Oryzias latipes: one gene and its partner. The protein of the gene in region 1 interacts with the protein of each later gene in a pairwise test. Links are inferred from orthologs where the notes say so. Each region holds a gene or a part of one and is shown on either strand. Other genes may lie near its edges.

Region 1 (4,303 bases):
AAAGCATCTGCGTTCTGCCTACTGCTCTGTCAGACCTTATGGATCCAAAAGGGGACAGTTTAGGCCTGTCTAGCACCTTGAAGCCCGTGATAGGCTCCTAAAACTGTTTTTTTCTGCTGATTTTGGCACATTTAAGTAGTTAACAAAAGTTTCAGGAAACTTTTCCCTGGTACTGATGTAAACTAGTCCTCTGCTGTTAAGGGACAACGCCTCTCATGCAGCTTTGACGGCCTTTTCCCGTCAGGGCGGCGCTTTAGGACTCAGGGCACCAAAACCACTCCAGACCACTCTAGAACACTGAACAAAACCACAGAAAGTGTCACACCAGAACACAGTTGCATTTTTTATTTAGTTATGTTTAAATCTTCCTATATCTACCTCATAGTACTTTCTTTTTATGATTTATCCTTTCCTGTCTTACTTCATTAAACTCGTTTTAAATATTTTTGTAGTTTGCACGAGAGCACAAGACACCAAAGCCAAATTCCTTGTACGTGCACTGTACTTGGCCAATAAAGCTGATTCTGATTCTAAAAGGTTGGAACATGAGCAGTCACCTCCATTAGGCAAAGCAGATACATATCTTTAAATGACTCATGTATAATTTTAAAGTTAAAACAAAGGCTCTGTTTACCAGAGACGACGGCTGCTGAGCAGAGAACTCTGCCAGCTGGCTAGGGGCACCTGCAGGGGGAGTAGGAGCCGCAGTGGGAGCAGCCGCAGGAGCAGCGGCTGCAGTTGGACTCTGCTGTGCTGAGGCAACACGCTGTGCAGCAGGCGGAACAGGACACTCCCCCTTTAGCCTCTGATCACGCTCCGCTGCTATGGACTCTCTCACGAGCCTCAGCTGCTCCACCGATGCTGCCTTGGGAAAGACCAGGTGTGTCTCAGCCTTAAAAAAAAAAAAAAGACATTTACTTGCAGTCGAGTCCTATCAAGCAACCAGAGTCTTGACACCAGTGAAACCCAGCTATCTTATCATCCTAACCTAAATTTAACAGCATTACCTCCTCAAAGCCCATCTCAAAGAGACATTCCACAGCTCCTTTGATGGGCAGCAGCTTAGTGGAGAAAGTGGGATTACCTATCCGGATGGATCTGTACTTCTCCACGTTGGGGTACCTATGGGGGTGGATAGAAACATCCCATAAAAACAAACTGATGTCAGTTTTCTGAGGGGAAAGCATTTCAGTCTGATCTGAATTCAAAGGGTGGAACTTTTTGCAACAGCCCCAAAATGTAGGTATATCTGTAGTTTCACTTAAATCAGACCAATTTTTGGATCACTGCACACATCTGATAAAGCTCATGAAGTGAATTAATAAGAATTACAACACAAATTAGTTTGGAGTGGCTTTCAAAACCGTATGATAACCGAGTACACGAAAAAAGATTATGAAAAAAAAGTGTAAAAGAGGAGAGAGAGGTTTGGGAGCACACAGACAAAAAAGTGTCGCCAAATAGTTTTGTTTTTTTTATTGACAGAAAAGTTCAGAATTTTGATTTTTTTTTTAAATGAAGTTCAGTGTTTAGACATCAGTAGGACATGAGTTTCACAGCCGAAGGTTTTACGTCCTGTGGTGCAAACGGTGCAGCGAAGTGAAGTCAAGAGGAGGATCTGAGGAAGGAACAAGAGGGACCAACAGAGAGGAGGAAACAGACAATGAGGGGAGGGGTTTTTATATTCCTTTGAAAGGAAGATTTTGAAATGATTTCATAAGAAATCGTTTCAATTCTTTCAGAATGACAGTGATTAGATGAGATGAAGTTTTATTATAGACAGAATTTAGGTAGTAGACCAATGAGGAGGAAGTAAAGAGGACAGGAAGTGATGAGTTTGCAGACAGGGATGGAGGTAGGATGTGGCTTGTGAGAGGGGCAACGACAATTATTACAAAGGTGGAACTGTACTGATAAATTTTGAGCAATTTTATCAATATGGAACTGGAATGATGTAATCCTGCATGAAACCAAAACTCTTATCCTGTGAAGAAAGGGCACCCAAAGACGACGTAATAGTGATGGAGAAGATGTTTTCATTGAAAAGTGTAGACTTTACACAAACAAAGAGGTTTTGAATTAGAGCGATGTGAGGTAAAACAACATCAGGAAAAAAAGGCAGGTGAAACAATGCACATAGATTTGTTAGAGATAGAGCTGGGTGTCTTCTCCCAAAGAAAATACATTTTAAAAAAAAGTCAAATGAAGCTCAATTTTGGAAACATGTTTTTAAGGAGAGAGGGGAAATGAGGAGGAATGGACCCAGATCAGAGCCTTGGGGAACACGGTAAATCACTGAGGCTAAAATTTGAAGGACTTTGAATTGTGTGACCTAAATTGCTAAAACTATGAAAGCAACCACTGAAAAGGCTGTAAATAACACAAATGAAGGAAAGGCGATCAAATAGGAGAGATAGTGTCGGAATCCACTCAGAAGGATAGAGGAAGAGTGAGACTCTGGTGCAGCCAGGAAAATAAATAGCATTTTTGCAAATTTGATATATTAGGGCGCATGAGTGACTCTAAATGCCGCTATTCTGTATGGCTTCTTTTACATCTGTGCAGGTTTAATTAAGGTTATAAATGACAGTAAGTTAAAGATAAAACAGTCACGATCATCAGAAATTTCAGAAATCTAACGAATCTCCATGATGATCATCCATCCAGCTTCACCTCAGAATGTTATCGGCGTAGGTGAGCAGCAGTTTGGCGGCGTCCAGGAAAACATCCGTGGAGTTCTCGCACAGAGTTGTAACCGCCGGAGATAGACTCATGTTTCCGACAAAACCAAGCCAGCTGTAACGCCCGTCCCTCCAGAAAAGCGGATATATCAACGGATTGGGGAGCTAACGCTGACAGCTACTTAGCTAACTCTGTGTTTGGGGTCCTACATTTAGGTGGCTTTATTACGCCGGAGTCTAATGTTAAAGGGGAAAAATGCGCGCGCACAATCTGCAGCTGTTGCATTATTATTTTTAACTCCCAATAAACAATATTTGTTGTGTGGTTGCTATTTTAGTTTGTTTTAGGCTAAATCTAAGAGAAGGTTCAGGCACAAAAAGCTGGCATTTTCTAGGGCAGATCCAAAGATTACTCAAAACAAACCCTGCATGGACAGTTACTTGGGCTGTCCAGAGCTTAAGTTCATACTGTGTAACGAAAGTTAGAGCTCCATCAGGGGAAGACGATGTCCATCTGGACTACAGTCCGGGCGATAGTTCAGCCGGGCAGGGCTTTCCTTCGAAATGCCCACATTTGTCCAAAGGGAGTTAGGCTCAGCAGCGGGAGCGGACAGTCGCACAGGCGGAGGGTTGTGGTTACGGGCCTTGGGCTGGTTTGCCCTCTAGGCACCGGCTGCAATCTGCCCTGGGAGTGTCTGATCCAAGGTCGGAGCGGGATTGTGGCTCTGGAGTCTGAGGACTACCGGGGCCTCCCCTGCAGGGTGGCAGCTCTGGTGCCTAGAGGCGCTGATGAGGGCCAGTTTAAGGGGGACCGGTTCGTCTCTCGGGGGGAAATCAGCAACATGTCTGCAGCTACTGTGATGGCCCTGGGAGCAGCACAGCTGGCTCTGGAGGACGCAGCCTGGTTCCCTGAAAGCCTGGAGGAGCAGCTCAGCACGGGGGTTGCAGTTGGCATGGGTATGGTGTCACTGGACGATATTGCCAGCACCTCTGCTGCCTTCCAGGAGAGGGGCTACAAGAAAGTGAGCCCCTTCTTTGTTCCCCGCATCCTTGTTAACATGGCAGCTGGGCACATCAGCATCAAGCACAAACTGAAGGGACCCAACCATGCTGTATCCACAGCGTGCACCACAGGAGCTCATGCCGTTGGTGATGCAGCCAGATTCATTGCTCATGGAGATGCAGTTGCTATGGTTACGGGGGGGACGGAATCCTGTGTCGGGCCTCTCTCCATAGCAGGCTTTGCTAGAGCCCGAGCACTTGCCACCAAGTGGAACGACAGACCAACACTGGCCTCAAGGCCCTTCCACCCAGAAAGAGAGGGCTTTGTGATGGGGGAGGGAGCAGCGGTGCTCCTGCTGGAGGAGCTGGAGCACGCTGTGAAGAGAGGAGCAAGGATCTATGCAGAGATCCTGGGCTACGGGCTCTCAGGGGATGCCAGTCACATAACAGCCCCTTCTGCAGATGGAGATGGAGCTTTCAGGTAACCCTGCTGGAGAAAGAGCTTCTATGTTTTCTCAGTGTTCACGTAAAGTTGTAGTTTGAAGCCAGAGCTCTACCACCGCAGTTTTCAGACGTTTTCCACTGTGGGTGCTGGGCCAGAGCTGCTGGTTTTTCTGGAG
Region 2 (4,395 bases), on another chromosome or scaffold:
AGCTTCATTACTTTGCAGATTTCCTATCAAGGGTTATTTTTAGAATGTAATTCCCAAGATAAATAAGGAATCTTTGTTTTTAAAGTTTATGCCATCTCATCCATCTGGCATGTCCAAAGTCTGGCTCAATGACATGCAGGCTTCTGTCATAAAATATGGGGTTTAGCACCCAAGTGACAGACATGCAACCGAAAAGATCTGGTAGTTTTTCAAAATAAAAATATTTTTCAAAATAAAAGCTAGTTTAGCCTCCACTCAATCAACCCCTCCTGCTTTCACCGCCCGGGTGGTAGCCTCCTGCTTTCCCTCCTAGAAGCCTCCTACTCTGAAAACTTTGGAGGCCCCTGTTTAACAGCAGAGAAGTTATTAGTGATGTCCAGATCTGATCACGTGAGCAGAAATCAGGCCGACTGAGTCGTTTCGCATTGGACTGGAAAAAATAACCCCGATCAGGACATCCCTCTAAATTTACTGAATAATGTTGGATTTTACGTTTAGAAACTAAACGAACTTTAAGCGCTTCTGTCCCCCGAAGTAAATAAATCTATACAGTAAAAGTGTTTTTATGTAGATTAAAAAATTGGACAGATGTTCATTTCACTGAAATAAGTTCCGGAAAAGTACCGTAAATTCCGGACTACAAAGCGCACCCAATTACAAGCCGCACCCACCCATTTTCACGTGTTTAACTACTTTTCTACATACACAAGCCGCGTCGGAGTACAAGCCGCATGTATTAGGCAACATTGTCATCCTGACAAATCACGTCCTGCCTCCCAGAGTAAGTGTGATGGTGGATTTTTTCACGCTGCTTCTAACGATTGCTTTTAACTTGAAAGCTTCATCATATTGCAGTGGCGATCACGTGCACGTTGGGTCTAATGGCACCAAAGGATTCTGGGATGCGGCTGGGCATGCGTGTTTCGTTTGTGGAACCATGACTGAAGTGTCTAAGACCTGAAGTTAGGTCCATGCTGTTTGGCTGCCTAGACGTGTATTGAAAAACAAATGACTTGCCCTTGGTGTTAGATAGAGAATTCTAACCATTCACTGTGTCCGAAAGTACGTACATGGCGGCCGCCAAATAAAACCATAAATTAGCCTCGTCACTGAATAAGCCGCACGGCTGTAAGCGCAGGAAAAAAGTAGCGGCTTATAGTTCGGAAATTACGGTAATTGTTTTAAATATGGTCGATGTTATTCGCAGGCGTTTACGTGCAACCAGCACAAAAACTGATGGAAAAACATGTGGATCACACGAAAACCATGTGGCCCAAATACACATTGCTGCACGTATTTGAACCCTAACCTTACCTGTAACCATAAGCCCTGCCCTAATTACGGTGAAATAGTCACTTCCTTTAAATCTAATTGTCGATTTAAGTAAAAAATGTGATACAAAAGTTAAGGATATTATGAAAATCTTGTAAATGATTTGCAAAGTCATTGTAACTATGATGGAGACGTCAGTGTCTGAATCCCGCAAAACAACAAAATGATGTTTGTTTTTGTTTTGTTTATAAAGAAAACAACAGCCGAACTCACTGCATTCTGCTGAATTAAATGCTAAGTCATCGTACAAACCCGCTCAGATTTAAGTGACTTCTTTCCCCATTTCGTCTCCCTTTTCTACCAGCTGACACCGGCGAGCGTGGCGGTACGCCTGTTACCTGGCGGGCTGCTGTGGTTCTGTGGCTTCGGCACTTTGCTCCTGTTTGGCCTCCTCAGGAGGAATAGGGACAGCTGCAGGGGTGGGTGCAGCAGGAGGATTTGAAGGCGGGGCAGCGGTTGATGTGGAGCCAGAGTCCTGTGCGGGGGGCTTGGGGGCTTCCGGGGCTGGTGCCGAGGTCGTGGCTGCAGGCTTAGCCTAACGTGTTCAGAAAACAAATGAAAACGTCAGAGGAACTGCATCCAGACGCGAGTCCGCTGCACACATAAAAAAAGATAAAAAGCTGGACCATGCAGTCTCACCTTGGATACCATCACTACAACAAAATTCTTCTCATCGATTTTGTAGTCTTTGATTGGCGTATCGTCTTGCAAGATTTTCCCGGCGTATATCAGCTTCTGCCCAGAAACAGGAAAGTTGTCTTTTCCTCGTTCAGCCTCTATCTTCTCCTTCAAGGCCTTGACCTGACACACAAGAGGGCAGACATGATGGTCGGACTACCCGGAGGCAGCCTATCCTCAACACCTGAAAGCCACACCCCAGCCGCCTCCATGCGAAAAAGGCCAAATCTGGAGCACCAGCGTGTATTTTACTTTTGTTAGACATCTAAACAGTAGAAGTTAACCCAATCCATCTAGGCTTCCAGAGCTGGGCTATCTATCAGGAGCTAGGCGTGATTGGCAGTGTCATGATGAGCATTTAGAGCACGCGCATCATCCTTCGTCACCACCAGCGCACTGACTGAGCGTCTCTGATTCACACATGTTGGTGGTTTTACCTCATATATTCACAGCCAAAAAGGCCGCAACAATCCTCTGTCAGCAACTTCAACTAGTGACAACCAGCTTTCAGGTGGCGGCCCAATGACTCTGTTAATTTTAGCAACATTAGCTTGAAACCTAGCTTAGCGAGGTAGCTTCAGCGCGTAAAGGAACAGGTGTGTTCTTAATTTTAAGCATTTTTTGTGTGGCTTAAATGTTCACACAATTCAGAAATTAATTCGATGTGATAAAAGTTAGTTCCTTTCACTGTACCTGCTCTATGGAGCTGTCGGGTGTGCACGCGGAGCTAAAAGACAACTCCGGTGCTGGAAGCTAACGCAGTTAGCTGTTAGCCACTTACCGTTTGTTCGGGGTCTATTTCAATCTGAATCGTCTGCTGCTGCAGCGTTTTCAGAGTGATCTGCATGGCGGCGTCCGGTGTGCTTCAAACTGGAAAAAGAGCGGCGCACTAAAGGAAAAAAAAGTCAGTCTGTGTCTCAGGTTCGCGTTTTGAGTAAGATAACAACTAGCCGAGAAATGTGTGTATCCATGAGCACTCAGCAAATCGCCATCTTTGGTGACAAGTTACGGGCACTCCTGCTTGGAGGCTGTGAGATATCGCGAGAAACCACGAGAGGGCCAGCAGCACAAAAGCTTTAGAAAACAAGCAAGACAAACACACGCGCACAGAAATCACAAGACTTATAACTTTTTAACTATATAGAAATACATTCTGATCATGTTAAGTGCCTGTGAGACTCAAAGTCCCACTTTGATCATCTTTTGATCTATTTTCAAAGCGTTCCTGGTGGTCTTTTAGTGACGATTATGCTGTTTTTAGACAAAAAAATTCAAAAACCTGTGTTGATTTCGTGGACGTAGTTCCTGCAAAGCAGCAGCAGTTCATTAAAAATTCACCTCTAAGTTTGTAGGAAACACTTCTGGTGCGGAGCTACCCAGGCCCCCCTTCCCATCACCCTTCTGTTTACATGCTCTCCTGCTAGCTTACAGCCCCACACAACCTAACATTATCAGTGCAACAAATATTGGTGCTGACCGGCTTTGAGCCAGACGCCAGCTCGGACGAGTAAAACAAAGATGTAGCCTACATGGATCTGGTCTACAGGCGGATGCATCAAAATGCAGCAAAGCAGTGAGTTTGTGGCCCCGCCCAGTGTATTTTCTAGGTCACAAGTATCCGTGTCACAGCTACAAGCTTTCTAAGATGGCATTTTTTTTGTCTGTTCCAGATTCACAAAACTTTTATACACATCATGTTCTGACCCATCCCCTGGGGGAGCGGTGACACAGCTGTGCTCGGGATCCCCCCCAATTTGAAGCTGAATTTTCTTTATATGTGTTCTCCATTGTCCGAAAAATGCCACAAGAACAATTTAAAAACCCCACTTTCATTGGGGTGGGTCTTTGAGTCTGAAGCGACGTTTACAACGCCAAATCACTACCAAATCCGAGTCCCTGATTGGTCAAAGTTTGACCTGGTTAACCTTTCATCACACACAGTCAATGGTCGCAAGTTTTGAACACAAAAACCTATAGCTATGCGTGATGCGAGACGCCCAAAACACGCATTTACTTAAACTTTGCATTAGAAGGAGCCACATAACCATAAACTTCATCGTGCTGTAAACTTCTTTTATTCATCATTGGGTATAATATTAACTCACTCTTTGTTTATTTCCTCCTGATTCAGGCACAGTGGATATCTGCATTCACACCTGGAGGGCCTTTTTTCTGCACAGCAGACTTTAATGCCACTATCACACGACCAACACAAACTGGTTCAAACGAAAGGACTTTGGTGTCAACGTGTGTCAATGAAAACCTAGGAGAAAGGGATTCTTTGGGTATCTGCTGCATAAAAGAGTTTAGGAAGTGATTTTAAAAGACAGAATTGAGCACTTTGAACATGATTTGTGTGTCAAATTGTTAAAAATTGGATCTTCC

The links.
Region 2: the proteins of ngly1 (region 1) and rad23a interact in binary tests that used the Homo sapiens proteins (3 or more experiments, as listed by UniProt). The two-hybrid records come from large-scale screens. The link is inferred for Oryzias latipes from reciprocal best matches to the Homo sapiens genes NGLY1 and RAD23A.

What each region holds. Positions count from the first base shown.
Region 1 is NC_019869.2:19,045,550-19,049,852, forward strand, and holds the start of ngly1 (peptide-N(4)-(N-acetyl-beta-glucosaminyl)asparagine amidase), read right to left. Parts: upstream 2,885-4,303; 5' UTR 2,775-2,884; coding exon 2,674-2,774; intron 1,123-2,673; coding exon 1,008-1,122; intron 893-1,007; coding exon 635-892; intron 1-634. Other genes in the region: oxsm (3-oxoacyl-[acyl-carrier-protein] synthase, mitochondrial), read left to right, coding at 3,188-4,164. UniProt on the Homo sapiens protein: Specifically deglycosylates the denatured form of N-linked glycoproteins in the cytoplasm and assists their proteasome-mediated degradation. Cleaves the beta-aspartyl-glucosamine (GlcNAc) of the glycan and the amide side chain of Asn, converting Asn to Asp.
Region 2 is NC_019866.2:22,942,278-22,946,672, forward strand, and holds the start of rad23a (UV excision repair protein RAD23 homolog A), read right to left. Parts: upstream 3,043-4,395; 5' UTR 2,858-3,042; coding exon 2,792-2,857; intron 2,134-2,791; coding exon 1,972-2,133; intron 1,868-1,971; coding exon 1,671-1,867; intron 1-1,670. UniProt on the Homo sapiens protein: Multiubiquitin chain receptor involved in modulation of proteasomal degradation. Binds to 'Lys-48'-linked polyubiquitin chains in a length-dependent manner and with a lower affinity to 'Lys-63'-linked polyubiquitin chains.